Drosophila melanogaster: one gene and its partners. The protein of the gene in region 2 interacts with the protein of the main gene of each other region in a pairwise test. Each region holds a gene or a part of one and is shown on either strand. Other genes may lie near its edges.

The links.
Region 1: the proteins of Anp (region 2) and Prip interact in a two-hybrid assay, tested with the Drosophila melanogaster proteins (one large-scale study listed by BioGRID).
Region 3: the proteins of Anp (region 2) and CG7910 interact in a two-hybrid assay, tested with the Drosophila melanogaster proteins (one large-scale study listed by BioGRID).

The regions. Positions count from the first base shown.
Region 1 is NT_033778.4:11,433,523-11,443,688, forward strand, and holds Prip (prip), read left to right. Parts: upstream 1-2,720; 5' UTR 2,721-2,900; intron 2,901-6,275; 5' UTR 6,276-6,310; coding exon 6,311-6,346; intron 6,347-6,447; coding exon 6,448-6,603; intron 6,604-6,664; coding exon 6,665-6,808; intron 6,809-7,545; coding exon 7,546-7,968; coding exon of another isoform or gene 7,969-8,016; exon of another isoform or gene 8,017-8,098; intron 8,099-8,127; coding exon 8,128-8,181; 3' UTR 8,182-8,218; coding exon of another isoform or gene 8,219-8,239; 3' UTR 8,240-8,350; intron 8,351-8,412; coding exon of another isoform or gene 8,413-8,448; 3' UTR 8,449-8,694; downstream 8,695-10,166.
Region 2 is NT_033777.3:30,207,034-30,211,956, forward strand, and holds Anp (andropin), read left to right. Parts: upstream 1-2,914; 5' UTR 2,915-2,951; coding exon 2,952-3,047; intron 3,048-3,109; coding exon 3,110-3,187; 3' UTR 3,188-3,349; downstream 3,350-4,923. Other genes in the region: RpS7 (ribosomal protein S7), read right to left, coding at 1,060-1,392, 1,457-1,624; CecA1 (cecropin A1), read left to right, coding at 3,915-4,013, 4,075-4,167. UniProt on the Drosophila melanogaster protein: Male-specific peptide with moderate activity against Gram-positive bacteria.
Region 3 is NT_033777.3:8,084,680-8,091,588, forward strand, and holds CG7910 (uncharacterized protein), read left to right. Parts: upstream 1-2,572; 5' UTR 2,573-2,862; coding exon 2,863-3,033; intron 3,034-3,106; coding exon 3,107-3,332; intron 3,333-3,398; coding exon 3,399-3,910; intron 3,911-3,964; coding exon 3,965-4,090; intron 4,091-4,141; coding exon 4,142-4,414; intron 4,415-4,469; coding exon 4,470-4,754; 3' UTR 4,755-4,847; downstream 4,848-6,909. Other genes in the region: mAChR-B (muscarinic acetylcholine Receptor, B-type), read left to right, coding at 1-1,053.

The DNA of each region.
Region 1 (10,166 bases), on a different chromosome or scaffold from region 2:
TAAAAATACATCAAGAACGATTTGTTTTGTTTTCAATTTGTTAAGTTTCATTTTTTCCCCTTTTTTGTTCTGTTGACTGATGGCGTACGTGTTATATATTGAGAGCCCATTAAGATGGGGCACGGTAATGGGCACATAAAAAATGGCAATTGGTGAAAATTTGCTTATATCCGATGCTGATAAGCCATCGCAGATGTTCCGAGGTTTTTTGCCTTTAAGCGGTAATCAAAGCACACTTGACTCGAAAATTCTATATAACAAAACTGAAATAGCACATTGGCTGCGAAAAAAATGTAAGCTTCCGCTAAATGTCTAAAATAAAAGAGAAAACTTCAATTGAAATTCAAGCAGCGATGAAATACAAGTTTTTAAGCATTTAATCTAGATCTGGCATATCAGCAACTTATTTTATAGCTGCGGAAGTAGCTCATCCGAAAATGCACTTCGATTTATCAGTATATATGTATGCGTATGCTGAATCTACTAGACCACGAATGAAACAACGTTTTTTAAACTAATTAAATTGAAATAATCCCTTTGCAAAAAGCCCATTCCCCCAGATCACGTCACTTTGCGACTGCCAGCTTTAAATTCCAGCAATGTCTGATTTAATTAATGGCTTCCCACTCGGGGGCGCTATGACCGGACAATTCTAATTTATTATTTTGCCAGTCAGGACACAATTACTTTGCTTTCCCATATTTCACATTGGGGCTCCATGCCAGCGGAAAAAATAAGCAAAAAGCCCAAGCAAATGGGCGCAATGTCGGGCCAAGGTCATCGCAGGACTATTGTGTTGGTCCTGACTGAAAAGTGGGCGTTGCCCAGGTGTCAAGAGTCAAGTGTCAGAAGGACTCCACTGGTTCATATATTTCCATTCAACTGAAATGTGTACTCGATTTTCCTTTTTGTCCGAACAAAGACGTATTCTTTTTAATCCATGTAAATCAGACAAGATCCTTGACGACGCTAAGTACTTTGTGTGTCATGATTTAAGGGAAGTTTCGTATATGATTTATACTTGTTTGTTTCTCCCAGGCATATTTTTGATAAAACTGGGCTGAGCACATGTAGTTGAATCACAAAATGTCGTCGTTTTCGATAAACGCACTAATTAATCATCCGAAAATTTACATAATTAACTATTCTTTGTTAAGCTATAAAATTTCAGTAACTATGATTTAAGAAATGTAACATAAGAAAATAATATGTTGAATAAAAGAGAAACTCTATAAATAAATAACTACAACGCTTGTCAGTTTAGAATGCGAATGATCATTACAATTAACTAGGAGGTTTCTATCAATCCGATTCGGAGTGAAGTGTATTAGTATTTTTGTACCCGTATCAGCACGTGTTGCATTCAACCGCCTTATTCTTATTTAACTTGTTATCAGTATTAAACCCGTTATTATCTATAACTAATAGTGAAGTACACATAGCCTATACTATAATGTTTCTAATCAGGAAACCTTAAGATAAAGCTAAGTGGTATTTTTAATCTAAGCCAAATTCGCTAGTCTAAAGACGTGACATTAACTTTAAAACCAGGAATGACCTTTTCAGACTCGTCTACACACAATATAATTTTAAATATTACACACTTTTTGGCGAATTTACCCTAATAATTAGCCATTTTATGATTATGATAATAATGAAAATAAAATTAAAATAAAATAAAATAGTTTATAATAATAAAAATAATGTTATATATAAAGGTCGAACAGTTTCAGACCATAATGTAAGCAAACTATACATACAAAGTGTGCCTACGTTGTTTTCGGTGTACTATCTCGATCATTTCTACTCTTATATTTGACTTATACGATTACACTTTATTTTACACCAAGCTCACAGTCATAAAATTGTGATTATACGCATTTATGAGGGCCTCATAAAAGTGTGCTTGGATTTGTGATCTGCGATTTTGCGGTTATTAATTTAAAATGGCAAATATACTTCGAAGACAACACCCATAAAGATAAAGTGAATTTGATTTTACGTCAAAATGTCATGGAAAAGTTCGGTATTCTCTGCTTGGAGTACACTAAATTAATTAAAGAAATTGTTTGTGAAGACATGATTTCTGGGCCGATTTCTCTGATAAGAACACCGAAAAGCAACGGAAACTTTTCTGCAAGCGTCACTGTCTGACGTGAATGATGGGTGGGTGTAAATATTACCCCTAAATAACTATTTGCAGTCCATAAATTTACTGATTGGTCGGAATTTTCAATTTAATATTTTTGCATGGTTTGTGTCTTGGCTGACGCGTGTGGGGTGTGGTGAGTTTCGGTGCCTGGCATGTTGTGTTTTTAAGCGGTGCGCCCGCGCAGCTAAACAATTTCGAATTCATTCCCTTTCAAAACTTTGGATAGTGCAATTAAATTAAATCGATGAAGAATTTGATATATATATCTATAAACGAATAAGTTCTCTGATTAACTTTCTTATACTTACGCATAAAGCTTATATTAAAGCGTATAGAATGTAAACATAAAAGCTCATAAAAACTAATTTGTTTTTAATAATTAGTTACACATTTATATAAACATTTAGTTAATACGCATAATTACATTATTTAGTTTTTTATAATTTAATTAATATAAATGTGCGCTCTTCGCATGAATTTATCTCTCTGCCCCTCTCTCTTTATAAATCGCGCTCTTTCTGCGCCATCGTTTTTGGTGCCTTTGGCTTTTTGCTGCCAAATGCGGTCGCGCAGTTTTTGTCGTCGAGTCAAAGTGCGCGGATCACTCCTCGAGTGAGCTAACAATTCCTGCCGAATTGAATTAAATATTTGTTAAGTGCAAGTTAAGGTGTTAGCTGTTGTTGTTGCCGTTAAGTCGAGTTCGTAAGCAGGTGGCAAAGGTGCCAAAGTGAGCTAATAGCAAAACAAGGTAAACTTCTAATTGAAAGTGATCTTGAAAATGCATAAAGTACATAAACTTTAAATGGGCATATCAAAAAGAGAATATTTCAACATATGTGTATTATTAATGTTTTTAATTAAGTTTAGATCTAATCAAATCAGTTATCCTGCAATATTATGCTGTTAATGGTGTATTTATAAGCTTGTAATCGATTTATTTATATTTAGTTTTTGAGTTTAATATAAACTAATGAAATGTAATTGCTTATATAGCTAAATAGTGACAAATTTAATAATTTAAGTTAAGCAAGTATAATTCAAAGTAACTAAAGTTTCTCCCTGTGCACCGAAACTAATGCTGTAATACCGTTTTGCATTTTTTTCTAACCCCTTACTTCGCCATTTATCAAATCTACTTTGATCTGTTTTCCTCTTGTTATGATTTTTGGAATTTTGTGAGACCGCCCCCGCATGTCAATCGTAAAAATATAACAATTTATGTACAATTTTTACTTTTGACCGCCAGCACGATTCTGAGTAATTAAAAGCCGCGAATATAAAATGTTATTCTTGCCAAAAGATGTGTATTTGAAAATTCATACATTTGGGACATTTCATTGTGCTTTTCATTTTGAAACCAGCGTTGCGTGAAACGATGCGGTCGTGCGATCTGTTTAAGCTTTTAAGATTTCTATATGTTTTGGTATTGTGTTCATTGGCTAATTGTTATTTAGGTACGGCAATGCCATGATCCGATGATATGGTAATGGGTCTTACAGAGCTTGGGGCATTCAGTTCGCTTCATATCTGACACTTGTGATTGATGGGTTGACCGCAGCAATTTTCTGGTCTCTGATTTGGTAATTTAAGTGAAGAATGTCCATCAGAAGCCTGGCTTCACTGTGGCCCCGAACACGTGTGGGAGTTTGGGCTATTAACTTTGCAATTGCCTCTGTGTGTGTGTGGTTTCCCCCCACTTTTATCGCTCCTGCCCCTCCCACGTTCGGCGTTGCATACAAATTTAGGGCTTAAGTAAGTTTTATGGCTTTTTAAGTGACAAAGTTGCGGCAAACAATTGCAAACGTCTATATCGCCAAATGCCATCAGGCGACGAACGCAATTGGAGCTAGGCCAGATACAATAGTTCAAAAACAATGAATATGAAGTCCAGTTCCCTGATTTCAGGCAAAGTTAACAGCTAGTTCCTAAGCTTTAATAGTCTGCATTACATTGTTGTCCCTTAACTTTTTCAAAAAACACTAAAATAGTTAGAGATCATGTGACTGCCATATTGGTAATTACTTTGATGCCAATAAATGCTACTCAAAACGGCAATAGTACCGAAAACACTTGAAAAGTGGTCAAGATAATTTGTATACTCGCTTTTAGAGTCCATAAAAATACATCAAGAAAGCAAAGCCAAAGATATTAGCTCATCAGCTTCAGAAACGGGAGATTTATACCCGTGTTATCGGCATGTTTTTAAATTAATGACGAATGTCTGCGTATGCGGCGATTTTTCTTAACGACATTCTTCAATATTTGCATATAATTAAATTTTATTGGAACACATTTTTAGCCGCCCCTCGGTTCAATTCGGCGAGAGTTCAAGTTCATGAACCCCTTGTTCATACACGTTTCGAAAGTCACAAAAATGCCTCGAATGACGAAAATCAGAACGAAATGCGTTGAAATGCATTCGACTTTGTTGTGTGTGCGAAAATATGTGTGAATTATGTGGATTTTGTTCTCGCCGTTTGTGCTAATTTGTTGAGCAAACTTTTACTTTATTGTTCGGATATTATGCGAATTGGCACGGACCCACTTGTACACTGGCAATTAGCCACATTTGTTGGCGCGCTATTGAAAATTCCAGAATTGGTGAGGGGCATATTGGGTTTCCAATTATAAAACAAGCTTATCATCCATAAATTGCGGCCCGAAATAATCGCAAAGCAAACTTTAATCAGAGCCGATTAATTGCTTAGATTTTTCATTCGAGGACCCAACACCTTGTGGTTGTACATACACCATTTAACCATTCTCATTAGCTGCAACCAAAGTGATAATCAGCACCTGTGAATCCGCACTACGGAATGTCAGTTAGTAGCTGGCCAATTAAAGCATTTCATAGGAACTAATAAAGATTATAATTACATGCTCAAATTGTTGAATCCGTTTTCACAATGCATGATTAACGGTCGATGACAAATATTGAAACTCTCAGGTTTTTACCCCGTTTTCCTCAAACCTCCAGTCAATGGAAATTGTTGTGTGGGTAGATTTTCGCTCTATGGCAAGGCATTCCACTTATCCGTGGGCCCAACCTTAAGTCAACTCAATTACTATTTGATCATCCAGCGCACCCCCTGCACCTCAATTAAGGAATAGAACTCGCTTTTTCATATCAGAGCACTTGAGTCTATTGGCTGATATCGATATGGGGCTCATGCTCGTAGATGACGCAAATGAAACACGAAATTCATTAAGATTGCATTAGAAAAGTAAATACTCGAAGTGATGAACAACTTGAATGCTTTGCGAGCATAGAAAATGGGAATTAACATTGAGCGCTCACTGATTGATTACCAAATGAAATGATATATGCAATATAAATTATTTTATACATACATACTCGTATGTATTTTTAAAGCTCTCGATGTTCTTGATGTGTGGGGGCATGGCCAACAAGTCTTAGCCCATTTTTGGGCCTGTTCGTGACCGCGTTGCGCCAAATAAGAAGAGCAAAGCAAACGCTTTCCACTGATGCCACTCTAGAACACTCTAAAAAAAAACCAGGCCTAATCCCCCCGCGGCTACAAAAACTGCCGGTTAAAAACTCAATTGCGAGTTCTGTTCACTCCTGACGGCGTTGTGCTCAAATATTTACATCGTTTTTATGACCCGTTGCCAATTAAATATTATACACTTTGTTTGTTTTATATATATTCTCACATGCAGCTGCAATTGCTGATAAGCTGGCAGTCGTCGAGTTGAGAGGAGGATTGCCCAGTTACCCACTGGCTGCCTCCAGTTACCCACTTTTAATGACAAGTGCTAAAGTTGAGCATTTAATAAATAAACGTAGATTAAGAATTTTTGGGACACAAGCCTTGAGTTAAATGAAAACCCCTAGACTTTTCCAATTGAAGACCAGACAGAAGTGTCGGCCAATTAGGCATCGTGACGGAAATTGCAGCGGAAATGCAGATTGTCAAAACTGTCACCAAAGGCCAAAACAATATCGCACCTTAAATGAGTGATAAAAGTGGCTAAATACCTGCTGAAGTCGGACAATTGTCCACTTCCATTTTCAAACACATTTCCATTTGCATTTTGGATTGCCATTTGCATTAACTACCAGACATCGTTCACTGATATTTCCGTTGGTCTTTTTTTTCAGTCCGTCAGTTTTAGTTGAAAAGTGAAGCGAAGAAGATGGGAAAATTCGAATACTCACTGGGTCTCAATGAGGTGAGTGCAAATCATACAAAGACAAAGTTTAATCGAAATACCAGTCAGTTATTAAAAATATCATTAAATAATGCTACTTTACTTATTAATTTGTCTTCTAGCTCAAATCCAAGGAGCTGCGATTGTGGCAGGCCTTGATTGGAGAATTCCTTGGCAATTTGATCCTCAATTTCTTTGCCTGCGGCGCATGCACCCAAATTGAGGATGGCACCTTCAAGGCCTTGGCTTTTGGCCTGGCTATCTTCATGGCCATCACGGTGGGTGGCTCGTTAATCTACGACATTATTCATACCCATATTCAACTATATATCCTTGCAGATTGTGGGCCACTTGAGTGGTGGTCATGTGAATCCTGCCGTTACCGCTGGAATGTTGGTCGCAGGACGAATTAGCTTGATCAGAGCCTTTTTCTATGTGGTTTTCCAGTGCTTGGGTGCAATTGCCGGAACTGCAGCGGTTAAGGTAGGCATTACACACATAAATTATTACATACATCTGAGTGAAATTATTAAAACAAAATACTCATCAGATTCCACTATTTCTTATATCATCATCATCAATTATATAGAGGTCGTCATTATGACAAAAAAATCTAACCTATCTTTACTTCTATGGTATATCTACAAAACAGCATTGCCAAAGAAAAGTCATTTGGCTTGTAAGTGTCTCAATCAGAACTGCCAGATTTCAAAATCAAATCCAAAATGTAGTCAATTAAAAAAATGTATAAATAATAATAAATATAAATACTTACTCGTTGTAAGATGATTGTTTGCAATGCTTTTGAGCTTATCTCGCTTTCTTAAAATAACACACTGAGACACATATGTACATACATGTTATTAAGTTTATTATTGTGATTGCCTCACATCCGGTTGCGGTTAAAAATGCCTTGTGTTTTGACCATTACTTTCTTTCGTTGAGTGGATAAATGATACGGGTACGCCAATGTCAAGAAAGTACTTTGATTAAATACTCGTATTTTTCGGTTTTATTTTGTATTAAAAACTACACATTTTAAAAAACAAATGATTTAGTAGAAATCACCAGTTCAATGAATCAACTTAAAATCTAATAGTTTAAAGTATTTTTACATACTCAACAAAACTAAGAGCTATATTTATTTTTAAGATTAAGATATCTAATCTAATCTATCTATCTATCTATATATAAATATTTTTTTTATACCAACACATTAGATTCTCATCGATCAGGACTATTACAATGGCCTGGGTCACACCTCTCTGGCGCCCAATATCACCGAGCTGCAGGGCCTGGGAATCGAGTTCTTCCTGGGACTCCTGCTGGTGCTCGTCGTCTTTGGGGCCTGTGATCCCCACAAGCCCGATTCCCGCTACACGGCGCCCTTGGCCATCGGAATGGCGGTGACCCTGGGTCACTTGGGCACCATCCGCTACACCGGGGCCAGCATGAATCCCGCTCGCACCGTGGGCACCGCCTTTGCCACCGACATCTGGGCGTCGCATTGGGTATACTGGGTGGGACCTGTGCTGGGGGGCGTGGCTGCCGCCCTGCTCTACACCCAGGTCCTGGAGGCGAAGCCCGTGCCAAAGGTTAACGAGGCATCCGAGAAGTACCGAACGCACGCCGATGAACGCGAGGTGAGAGTCAGGTTGATAAGCGCCTGGAGCGAGGAGTCCTTCTACTGATCCGTGATTCCGCCCACCCATTACACACACACACACACACACACACCCATCACACACACAAACACTCACTCACACTTGCATTGTAAATACTCCCGAATTACTTGATTTCAGGGATGCAAACCGAACCACAACCCGAACCATTTGGCATATACATATCTCGCTTAACTATAACTATTAAATGTGTTATGTTTTATCGCTTTAGCAGCAGATATTCGTATACTAAAGATATTACGACCTGCACGCAAAACTAATCTAAACCGCTTTTGTGAACCGAATACGATTGGTTTAGAAACTCTTCAATCCTATCAACCGAACCCGTCCGCCATTTCGATCGGTTTGCATCCCTGTTTAATTAGCTAACTAAATTTTGTATTATTGCAATTTATTTACTTGCAGATGCGCAAACTGGAGGGAGCCCGTGACTACGCCTAGATATAAAGAAATCTTTGCGACTCGAATCTAGGGATACAGATGAAATCTGTGTGTTTAATCCATTCATTTCAGTGTCTAACATAAACATGTCGTGTTCTTCTACGTTCGTGTGTATTTATGTATTTATTCATGCAAAATTCATTTTTAACTAACTAATATTTAATGTGTAAGCTGCCCTAAAATGCAATCTACAACAAAATTACTTGTACTCTCATGCGCTCACAATAAAGTGGAAAACATTAACTGAAACAAACTGGTGTTTATCGATTTTGTATCTTAATATAAAATAAAATATTACTATAAAATTGCTATACCCATGAAAAAATTTAAGCAATTCAATAAAATTCGAAATAAAATATAGCTAGCTAAAATTTTCATTGGTTTTTGCATCTTTAAAAAGAGCGCAATGAAAAGCTTATGCTGCAAGCTTTTCCGGCCGAGTTTCCCAACACTCGGTATGCGGAAAAGCTCCGTGGCAGCATACGGCAAAAGCGCCATGCGCCAAAACTGTCAAAAAGCGTTAAGGGAAAATCGGAAAATCCGCAGTCGTCCCCGTCGTTGGCCATGTAGTTGCGTGTGACCTGCTAAATAAATTACAAAATTAACAAATAAAAAACGTCTATCGACACTAATTGGCCACAACTTACTGTTCAACAATTGATAAATTATTCGAATTAGTGAATTAAACAATTGGCAAGTGTGCACAGTTAAGTGAAAGGCCAGATGAAAATCAAGGCAAAGCGATGCACTAAAGTGTTGTGGGCCAAATCAATAGAAAAGCAGTGAAGGAGAAAAGTCACCAATCGACGGAAAAGCGACCGAGACCACGGCGAGGGTCGAATGCAAATTGCAGTAGACCTCGTTAAGGCTAAGAACACAAGTTGGCCGAGTTAAGCTGGCCAATCGATTCCGAGAATCGGGACCATCTTATGAAACAACGGCCCAACCGCCGACCCGGAAAAGTGTGAAACGAAAGGAAAGGAAAAGTGAAAAGTGCTGGGAAAAGTGGAGAGGCTGCAGCGTCGTGTAAACACAGAGTCGCACAAAATCAATACTCGCGTGTGTCTGGGCCAACGAAAACCAGGCAGTCAAACATGAACGAGGACTCCAATTCGGTTGGCCAGTAGTAACTGGGACTAAAGGCAAGTAGTTAAACGGTCTAAAAATATGCCATTCGAAGCCCTGCTCTGCACTTGACCCACTATGCAATTAGCTCGTTATAGCCATTAAAGCTTGATAAATGGCCAGGAAATGTGATCGGGAGCTATAATCATCGCTAAAACGTTGGCATTGCGCACACTTGTTGCACGGGAACCATAATTTGACCCACTTGCATGCATGCCACACACAAGTCGAAGACCAATATAATATGTATCTCTAATATCTTTGATGCAGTGGTGCATTTTTGCTTTAGCGGCTTCCATATTGGCAAGACTTTATTCTCGAAATTGGGTGGTGCGAAGCCAAAACCTTAACCTGAAAAGATCGATATACCGGGTATATATCAAAGGGGTATATTAGTTTGCAGTTCAAGTTAAAAACAGACTCTAAATATGTCTTTTAAAGATATGAATTTTAGCAATCGAATATACTGTATGTTTGCTGCAGCAATAAATTTAAATACATTAAGTAGATATCCTTCCGGCAGGCTTATATCTAAATGACCATCTTGCTATGTACAAATTTAAACAGCATTATTTGTAATAGGTATCCATTAG
Region 2 (4,923 bases):
AGTGATTCGTTGCATTACTTTGCGTTCTGTTTGACGATCGCTGGACTTGAACAACGTCCAGAAAATAACACAAGAACGGTGATGGAAACCAAAGTATTCAAGGGCTAAGTGTTGATTGACATGAATGTGGCGCATATAGTAATGCAGTAGCCGTTGAGAGTCGGCTCAACATTGTGGAGTGATTAGCGGCAGTTAATCTACGTTCTGTTTGACAATCGCTGAGCTTAGGTAATCGCTTAGCGAATAACACAAGAACGGAGTTCACAATTAGCATTCTCGTGGATATTCAACTGTAGCAATCCTTTAGTAATGATGCAGTCCTGGTAAAGTAGACCCACCATTGTGGAGTGATTCGTTGCTTCAGTTTGCGTTCTGTTTGACGCTCGCTAGGCCATGAAAAGATCTAGCGAATAACACAAGAACGGTGGTAGAAACCAAGGTATTTAAAAGATTCTACGAGAGTGTGGCGAGCCGAAAAGTAATGCAGTAGCCCTGGAAAGCCGGCTCAACATTGTGGAGTGATAGCCGCATTAATTTACGTTCTGTTTGACAATCACTGGCTTTGGATGTAACTTCCAGCAAATAACACAAAAACGATAGAAAGTTCTATGTACATTTAAACATATAATCTTTCTATCCATCTGTTATCCCCCTTATTTGACTTTTCATTCTACTGTTTAAATGGTTTCAAGTATCGATTTGAGTGTGTAATGATGTGGCGAGCCGGAAAGTAATGCAGTAACCGTGAAAACTCGGCTCAACATTGTGGAGTGATAAGCTGCCATTAATGTACGTTCTGTTTGACAATCACTGGCTTTGGAAGGACAGCCAGCGAAAAACACAAGAACGATGTATCAAAAGACCAACTGTGGCCAATATTTGGAGATGCAGGACCGCAATGGCTTCTAATGCCTGCAATAACGAGTAATTGGCCCTGACTGTTCTGCGTCCCCTGGCGAAGATTGAGCTCCATGGCACGGAAGGCCCAAATATCGAGGGTACGCGCCTGCTAACACACACGATGCACTCTTCTTTGAGGTGGAGGATGCTTATGCTTACTTTGTGTTCAATGGTGGTCTGCTGGTTCTTGTCCAGGTGCACCTTGACCAGCTGGGAGCCGTCCAGCTTGACGCGGATGCGCTTGCCCACAATCTCGGCGGGGAAGACCAGATCCTCAAGGATGGCGTCGTACACAGCGGTCAGAGTCCTGGAGCGTGGACGCTTCTGCTTGAGGGGGTTGCGGGCCTTGCGCGTGGGCTTGGGCAGGATCTTGCGCTCCGCAATCACGACGACGTGCTTGCCCGAGAACTTCTTCTCCAGCTCGCGGACCAGGATGATCTGGATCTTCTGGAACACCTTCTGCTGTGGAATGGGCACGTAGATGATGACGGCCTGCGTGCAGAGTGGGTTACGGATTACTATTGAAGGCTCCACATGTACGCCATATACTGTTTACCTTCTTGCTGCCGAACTCGATCTCGCGGGCACGGGTGATGTGCAGATCGCGCAGGTAGGGCTTCAGGTCGCTGTTGGCCTCGAGTTCCACCAACGCCTGGGCAATGGACTTCTCGAAGTCATCGGGATCCGAGCCGCCGGGCTTGATAATCTTGGAGCCGATAGCCATCTGCAATGTTCATCACCGGTATTTTAGCTTTCGGTTCAATTACAAACACAAAATTCGCTGCGGCAGACGCTTCCCCACAACGCAGTACAATCACAAATCGCCGGCAATCGGCGTTATTTCGCCAGCATTTCTCTGGATTCACAAGAAAATCGTAATTTGCCATTATCATTGCGGCCTTTTCTCTTATTATTTCGCTGCACTGCGTTGTGGCGACCGCGTATTTTGGCCATTTTCGGCGACGGAAGAAAAAAAGTACCACCTTTGTCGACTATTTTGACAGGAAAGGAAGTCGAGCCACGACGTAGAGGTGGAAAACAGAGCGAGTTGTTATCGATGAGACACGCGCGAACGTTGTGCGATACTATCGATACAGTTGCAGGAGCAATTACTCGTCGAAAATACGAGGGATGGCTAAATATATAAAATTTAACATTATAACATAACATCCATTCAAGAAAATTTGATTATATTTCTTTGAAGTGTTTCAGCGTTTTAATGTTTTGCGTGTAAAAATCGATAGTTCTCAGCAAAGATTGTGTATAACGAATTTATGAGTTAGCATCGATAAGTTTGTATGCCACTATGGGTTTATGTTTGGAAAAACTTTATTATAAAATTTTTTTTTAATAAGTTAAGTTGTTAGCCTATAAAATTAAAAAAATTGTTGTATGAACAATATAAAATGTTTCTTTGAAAATATATATCGATAGGTTCGTTTAGGGTTATCTACCATGCTTCAGCGGCGAGTATCACCACTTATGTTGCGATTAAAGCCCCACAGGGGGCGCAATTGTTACCACATGTAACGTTTTTTAAAAAAAAGTAATTACACAGATTTTGGATTTTGGAATGGATTTCCATAAATTAGGAATTTAATGAGATTATTAACAACATAATAAAAAATATTAGTTATTGCCTTAAATATATGTGTAGATAATATTTACGCAGACATATTTAATCTTTTCAACGGACATTTTTAAGTTGATAATATTGATAATATAATATATGTAAATTCCAGTGCCATTTGCCGTATGAGTTTTAACCTACAGAATTGTAGAACTTAATTACTATAGAACACTATTGAATGAAAACTTAGTAACTTGTTGAGGTTTTTAGTAATTCCAAGAAATATGCTCTTGAATAAAAAACCTTTTTAAGTCTCTTTCAATGCAAAAACACGAGTTCTTTTTTTTTACATATTGTAATTAATATGTTTAAGGTCTAATTATTATTGTAAACGTTTTTCGGTGGGTTGATTGCCTATAAAGCCACTTGTTTTTCAGTCTAAATCATCAGTGTAAAATTCGGAAAACCCAGCGATCTAGTTATGAAATACTTTGTGGTCCTTGTCGTCCTGGCCCTCATTTTGGCCATCAGCGTGGGTCCTTCGGATGCAGTATTTATTGATATTCTTGACAAAGTGGTTTGTTTCTTCTTTAAACAATTGTAGTTTACAATGAAGCTTAAACATTTGTATTTCTACAGGAAAACGCAATACACAATGCTGCTCAAGTGGGAATTGGCTTTGCTAAGCCCTTTGAAAAATTGATCAATCCGAAGTAATTCTGCACTGCAATTTAATTAATGTATCGTTTAACGAAAATAAACACAAATTTTAAAATCTGAAAAACAACTAAGTTACTAACGCAAGACTTTTAGTTAAGTTAGTTAATATAGACCGAGATGTATGTACATACATACCGCTTTCGCTTACAATAAAATGTTAAATAAGTTTTCAGATTCGTACGTGCTCAGTAAACAATTATTTTTTATTGTCATTTAATGCCTATTGAATTTTTCAAACTTAATTTAGTGCCTTTAGTAAAATATTGTAGTGATTCCCCTCGAAAAATACCACAAATTGGATGCGTTTATGTAAATAAATTGCCCTTGAGTGATAGAGTAAATTTGAATTTGACTGTCTTAGAAAGATAGAAAGAGATCAATTCAAAATGCCAAAAGGATAGAGTTATTAAAGCTCTAATTCAAATTGGCCCAGAACCGTTTAAAGGATATTACAATTTGTAATTTACATATTTGGATTATAGCATTGAAATCCCCGATTGTTCCCTAGATGTGCAGATGTGTGCTTGGAATCAGATCGGTTACCTTCAGTGTACTTTTCTCTGCAAAAATCCCCGTGCATGCCTTATCTGTCATTTTGTTTTTCAAGCTGGCTGTTCGCCTATAAAAGCTCTCGCCTTTTGTATCGCAGTCATCAGTCGCTCAGACCTCACTGCAATATCAATATCTTTAGCTTCTCCTAAGAAAAAATCAAGAAAATATCACCATGAACTTCTACAACATCTTCGTTTTCGTCGCTCTCATTCTGGCCATCACCATTGGACAATCGGAAGCTGGGTGGCTGAAGAAAATTGGCAAGAAAATCGTAAGTTCTTCCATTTGAAATCTGTTAAGACGGAAACTAACTGACTAACTTCTTTTCGAAGGAACGCGTTGGTCAGCACACTCGGGATGCCACAATCCAGGGACTGGGAATCGCTCAACAAGCCGCCAATGTCGCCGCAACTGCCCGAGGTTGACCACGATGATTATTTATAATTATTTATTTAAAGATCTATTTATTCTGTTGCTCCCTGTAAATAAAACAATTTTAAAAATTTAAAGAATTCTATTCAAACTTTGTTTTTTAAAGAGTTGGAGAAAAGCGAACTCTTGAATTTATACACACATTTTAAATACACTTAAGAGGCATTATTTATACAGGATATTACAAATCGCTTCTTTTCCGATTTGGAAAGGCCGAGATTATGTCTTATCTGTTGAAATATAATTCGTTTCACCTATAAAAGGACCAGTCTTTTAGTTTAAATTATCAGTCGCTTGTCAAATACTGAAACAATTAGATTAATTTGTGGATTTTATTTGTCCTCATCCTGACCACTTATTGGCCACAATTGGAAGCTGGCTTCGACGGGACATTAGTAAGCTTAGTCATTTTAAAAGATTTCTTTGCATCTAACTATGATTCTAAATCCTCAGAAGGACGTTGGTCTATACACCCTAAATGCTACCCTGCAAGTTGCTGAAGTCGCTTCGAAAGCAGCCAATGTGGCAATCACTGCCAGGGGATAAACTTAAGTTAGGGTATTATTTATAAGAAATTAAATTAATAGATTTTATTTTATATATTTTTTGTATATTGTTATTCAAACTGATAATGTAATATACGCTTTTCAAACGATCATTCCAAATCAGTTGTGGGCTTATCGCAAATGATTTCGTAGTGTTTTTATTTTGATTGATTCAAAGAAGGGGTTTCCTCTCTGATTCTTAGT
Region 3 (6,909 bases), about 22 Mb from region 2:
AGTGTGACGGCCAACTCGACGACCTCCCCGAATGACAGCGTCCAGGGGAAACCACCAGTCCTGCCTCCACCACCGCCCGCACGCCGAAATCCACCAAAATCGAACCTGAACCAGAGCCTCAGTCAAACTCCCAGCCAAAACCAGAGTCCCAGCCAAAGCCTGAGCCTCAACCTGAATCCGAATCACAACCAGAGTCAGAGTCAGAGTATCGAGGAGGCGGTGGCCATTGAAAAACGTCTTCTCGTCTCGTACACAGGAATCGAGGACTTTGCTAAGGTGAGGCGGGAGAGCTGCATTGAGGCCATCTGCCTGTTGGATGTGCCCGGAAAGCTAGCTGCGGACTGTCCCCATCGCCGGGCCTCCAGTCCTATGGAGACCAGCAGCAAGGATGCCATACTCTATTCCCCGATGCCACCAATGCCACTCTCACCCAAGGTAAAGACTTCAACGCCACAAACGGGAACGCCCCAGTCGGCGGCGGGTGTAACACCACCGGTGCCACTGGAAAGGATTGAGGAGCGAGAAACCTCGGACAGTAATACCAACAAGATGCCCTCCACCTCGGGCACCACCAGCAGTACGGGCGGTGTGGGTGGAGGCGGGGAACAAGACGGTGTTGGTGCCACCAAAAAGAACGCGGGGGATGACGATGCCAACAGGGAGGAGAAGAGTTTGGCGGCCAGCCGAAACTCCAGCAAAAGGGCATTCATTCATTCGATAGGAAAGCACTTCAAGAGCAAGAAGGCTCTACCCCTGATCCTTGGAGTGGGTGGACGGCAGAAGTCCAAGTCGGAGAATCGTGCTCGCAAAGCGTTTCGCACGATCTCGTTCATTTTGGGCTGCTTCGTGGCCTGCTGGACACCCTACCATGTGTTGGCCCTCGTCGAGGGATTCTGCCGGCATCCGCCCTGCATCAATGAACACCTCTACATGTTCTCGTACTTCCTCTGCTACGCCAACAGCCCGATGAATCCTTTTTGCTACGCTCTGGCCAATCAGCAGTTCAAGAAGACCTTTACGCGGATCCTCAAGGGGGATCTGCACATGACCTAAGATGGTTTGGGGATCTGAAGTGGTTAAGCTGCTGGTGGTTGAGTTAAATCCCTGATAGATTTCCATTTTGCACTGCACTTGCGCAAAGGACCAGACACTTCAGAGCCCCGAGAGTCTGGCGCCTTGCAAACTTTTCCATTCCCAAACCCCTTACACCTCCTTAGGCCCATAAGTTTTCTATACATACCCAACGAAAGTGCTCCGCTTAATGGAATATCTGCTGGATTTCGACCATCAGCAAAGTATTAGAATCAAACACTTATTAAATTCAAAATTTAATCGGTGGACAGGGAAGAGTTATCTGTAAGTAGCCAAAGGTGTGTGCTATAGTTAGAATCGTTGGGGGGGAAAACAAGCAATCCGATTTGGGATGCATACATAGGTCTAGAGTGGCACTAAGCGGGGCGAAATGTTTTAGACAATAAATATTTTAATGTTAATAACCAATCTATGATAACCATGCAAAGTATATGATATGATAGCTAATAAAATAAATTAAGCATAAGATATACACATTTACCGAGACTAGAAAACCCTACAAACCAAAACTCTAAAGCATATCCCAATATAGAATAATACTTCTTTTGTTGTTCCGCAGAATATATCAATGAAAAGCAGACATATGAAGGGGGTAGGCCATAAGAAGACCAAAGAAAAGCATGTTAACCCTTTGAGGGATATGCCAGTCGAAGCCCTTTTGACGGTGACACTTTGTCGAAAACTACGCAAAATCGGACCTAATTTTGATTTCAAACGTTCATAGAAACTTTCTTTTACAGTTATTTTGGTAGGTTATAGTACTTAGAATATTGCAAAAATATAAACTGTGTTCAAACTTTTTCGACGAATGGTTGCCGTCGTGGGGTTAAGCAGTTCGATGTCAATCCTGCAGCAGATATACGATTTTAAGAACACAAAACCCAGCATACATACCCGCGTAATTGTCTATGGATATATGCCAGACAAGTTGAAGAGTTTTGTTTGAATATTCATGAGTGTAGAGCATACGAAGATACATACATATAGCTACATAGATGTCAATTTTTGCGCAAGCCAGCAACTTATACTTATACGGATATATAGACGTCTCCTTAGCGCCTTTGCCAAGTTGCCTAACTGAGTTCACTCTCATTCTGAAAATCTTTGTTCTCGGTTGAAGTACTTTGTTATTTGTTAACCGTTTCGTTAGCCGATTCGATTCGTTTTCCAGTGAGTAATGTGCTAAACAAGTTTTTGCTTTTGTTGAACGTTTCCATTTAGCACGTAAGTGATAAGTGTAACAATAACTAAAATTATTACTAAATAAATAAATGAATGAATAATTGCATTTTTTATGATACGAAGGGTGACGCTTTTTTTAGGTAAGTAATGATTTTATTTTTAGAAGTGTAGCGACTACTTTCAATTGGTTTTAAATTATTGTTAATTGAATTCTTTAAATTAATTTGAGTTAAAAGCCAGAGCTATTTTTTCTTTAAGTATTTTTTTTTTTCAAAATGATTTTCGAAAACGAGAACATCCAAAGTTTATATAGTGTTGGTTAATGCCAACCCGAGCTAACTTTGAAATTAAATTCAAATTGAAATGGAAAACAAGGGACGATAAGTGCGAGTGTCAATCGCCACGCGTAGTCCACGATCCGCAGTCGAAGTGTTCGGTGGTGTTCCAGGTGCAGCAGCAGTTCCCGATCCCCATACCACCTCCTAGGCAAACCAACGTCAGCTATAGTTAACCCACTTACGCTGAGGTCCGATCAAAGTCCAGTGATTTGAATACCCCAACCTTTTGTGACCCGAACGCCTGCTCGACATGGAGATCATTCTACGACTGCTGGCCTTCATTCTGAATGCCTTTGGCATGTTGGTGAATAAGATTCTAGATTTTGTATTGCCCCGTCAGAAACCCAAATTTTCGGGCATTCGTAATCCCCTGCTGAAGAAGTCCGTCGTTGAATTGGTCACCCAATTGCGACGCGGCGAGGTGAGTCTCCAAGTCCAATCGCGTCATTCGTGTGGGACATTTGCAAGTCATATATGTCGGGGTTCGATTCCAGATCACCTCGGTGGAGTTGGTTAGCGCCTATATAGCACGTGTGCAGGAAGTGAATCCTTCTCTGAATGCCGTTGTCGAGGATCGATTCGAGGCTGCCCTCCAAGATGCAAAATTGGCAGATCAGTTCATCGAAAAGGCGAGCTCTGAGTTCGATCGTGTGGCCCTGTACACCAAGTATCCCATACTGGGTGTACCGTTTACTGTCAAGGAGTCATGTGGTCTTAAAGGTATGTTTCAGATACTCAAAATCACTAAAAATATAGCAGAAACTTATATTTTTCACTGGTTAATAGGATTATCCTTTGCCGTGGGCAGTCTTGCTCGCAAAAATATGAAAGCCCCCCAGGACGGCGATGTGGTTGAACTGGTCCGTGCTGCTGGTGGCATACCCCTTTTGGTGTCTGCCAATCCAGAGTTTTGCATGAGTTTCGAAACCAGCAATAATATCCAAGGACGTTGCTTGAATCCATATGATCTGCAACGAACTTCCGCCGGATCTTCTGGCGGCGAGGCATCATTGAATGGCTGTGGAGCCACAACTTTTGGTGTGGGCTCCGATATCAGTGGTTCCATTCGCCTGCCGGCTCTGTTCTGCGGCGTTTTTGGCCACAAGCCCACTGGCGGGCTTACGTCGGTCAAGGGTCACTTCCCCTACTCGTTGACGGACAAGAAATTCTCCGAGATGCTGCAGATCGGTCCCATCACAAGATTCGCCAGGGATTTGCCCTTGCTGTTGGAAATAATGGCGGGCGATAAAAAACACAAACTGAAAATGTCTGAACCAGTTGCCCTGAAGGACATGAAGGTGAGATTTCCCAAACTAGGAAATGTATAATAGTCAAAGCTTATTTTCGCTTAGGTATACTATGCCTTTGGATACTCCGGCTTTAACTGCCTCACCCATCCCGTGGTGGACTTCGACATAAAACTGGCCATCACCAAAGCTGTCACGTGCTTGGAAAGAGGAGGTGTGCAGTCCAAGAAGGTAAGTACAACTTTGTAGAGTTTCTCGACCTAATGCTATTTTGCCAATCAGTTGGATCTTAAATTCCTGAGAAACTCTCTCGAGATTGCCCTGGTTTCCCTGGTGGACTTGAAGGGTCTGCCCAGTATCGTAACACAGCGGGCGGATCGTGATCCATCGATGCGTTTGCTGATGGTGGAACTCTTCAACAGCATCATAGGTCACTCAATCTTCACCAAAGAGGCCATGGTACTGGAGGTGATGAAGCGATTCAACGGCCTTATGGCCACTGGAAACATGGAAGAATACCGAGTTGAGGCCCAGAAAATAAAGAGCCATCTGAATGTAAGCGAATTAAATCATTCTTGAAGTTATACTGACCATTTAAAACCCATCACAGCAATTGCTTGGTACCCAAGGAGTCCTCATCATGCCCACCTTCCACACTAGCGCCCTATGTTTTCACACCTCGCTGTTAAACGTGACGGGGATCGACAATCTGCTGCTGTTCAACATCCTTGGTCTGCCCGCCACCCATGTGCCCATGGGCACAAATCAACGGGGAATGCCCATAGGGTTGCAGGTGGTGGCCGCCCAATATCAGGACAAACTCTGCCTGAAGGTCGCCGCCGAACTGGAGGCCGTTTTTCACGGCTGGGTGCCACCGGTACCACATGACACATGAAACACCAAGCGAGGATCGGGGGTACCTGCTCAGTTTTCCATTTAAGGTTAAAGGTTAAATTTTGTTTAAAGTGCTAATATAGTTGTGAAGATTAAAGTGAACTTCGTTTAATAAATGACCACCAATATTTGTTTATATTGGAGTGTTTTTTTTTTTTTTTATTTCCATAACATTTTTCGATAGATCAATATAACTTTTTAGTTTTGTGTACAGTCCCTCTAAAGCTGACCTGCAACAACGTTATATTGACGTTAGCTTGACTCAAAATCGATATCTAAGACAAATGGGCACTCTGCGAAGCGATAGAATATCCTACGTCTATCGGCACTTCAGCTGAAATCTTCGCATTTTAATCAACTTAATCAACCTTGCAATTACAACCATTGAAATGGGTAATATTTTTAGGCTTCGAAGACAACATAGAGTGAGTACAAAAATAATGCATTATGTGCTGAGCCCCGTCAATTACATTTCCATCGCAGACTGACAATCCTATGGAAAACCAAATTGAAATTTCCGTAAGTGCTTAAAATTTTAATTTGCCATTGCTTTAATGTTTGATTGCCCTCAAGGACGAGCCAGGAATCTATAGCTTAAGAAGGACAAGTCCCGATGAAAATGGGAACATTTTTGTGAATCATGAGATAAACCATGCTGCTTGGAGTAACCCAGCCCCAATTCGAAATGGGAGCTATCACAGGACCACTAGACCTGGTTTTGGTGGTCATCATTCATCGGTGCAACCAATCTATGAGGATTCGGACCAAGATGAGGGTGTCGAGGACTTGAATTCCGTATCTGACAGGGAGAACTTTGAAGTCGAATAATGCTAATAATATGAAATGTTAAATCAAAATATAAAATACTCTATTCGTAGAATTAAAAATTTATTTTCTTTAGTATTAAAAATACTCCTTTTTGAAGTACTCACCGCATTGCCGAAAGATCTAAGGCACCAGGGGATTCTAACCGCCATTATTCCAGACTTTGTAAAAGAGTGAGATCCCGAATCAATCAGTGTTTCGGTACCGCGAGTGTAGAGAATTAGTTATAGCCTCTCTTAGTCAATCACTCCACTCTCGCTGCGAAATTGTTTACGTTTCGTAAAAAACTCTCCACCTCTTCCTTCCACCTTATCAGCACCTTCCCTACCCTATATAGTAAAATTGTTGTTTTATTTATGAGTCGAACTAATGTCCCGTCAGTTGACTAAGGACAACGCCAAGAAATAAAAAATAGTTTTTAGGAGAAATAGTTTCACGACTTTATTCTTTGGATCTCAGCTTAAGACTAAAAATCAAATGCAAATTGGATTGAGGAGAAGCCTCAGTATTTGAACAATATTTGTATTTCGGGAGAGCCTCGCTCTTGGGTTCTTAAGATTAGGTAGCGTTGAAAGAGGGCAGTCAAATCTGCTTAGGTCAGGCTTTAGGATGTTTACAAGAACGGCTGCGCTGCCAAAGATAAACAAATGCTGCGCAGCTGGGATACGTTATGGAAAATTACTAGAGTGCATTACTGATTTCTTTGAAATAATGGAAGTGGCTGGTTTGGACCACCCAAATACGTCACTCCCCTTCCCTTAAAGAGAAGCCTATACTTGGGCTGGGATTGATGGATATAGTGTGGGAAATGGAGTTTCTTCTATTTCTGTTTGTTGTGGTGTGTTTTGATTTTGATTTTTTCTTATTTTAAGTTTTGCATACAGCATCATAAATGGTTTAAATGATACATATCTTAAATATGAGTACAACAAAATTAGTGCGATTATTACAATGATCATTTGTATGTAAAGTGTAATATTGTTCTCTGAAATCATCTTAACAATGTCGTTGTGTTTTACAATTTTTATTTTTGTTATATTAAGTGGTGTGTATAGTGGTGTCAAATCTATTTCTGGTTCTAACAGATTTTCACTTAAAATTATATTATTGATTTCTATTTTGCATTGCGTTACTCTTATCATTTTGTTTCCTTCTATTTTTATTTTATTAATTGAATTTTGGCAATTTTGGTTAAGAATTGTTTGGGTTAAGTTCCAGGTTACAATTGTGTTTGGTTCTATGTATTTTATTATTTCGTTCGTGTGTACTGGCTTAAAATTACAAATTGGATTTAAGTGTTTAATAATATTGGTGACACATTCATTTTTTAC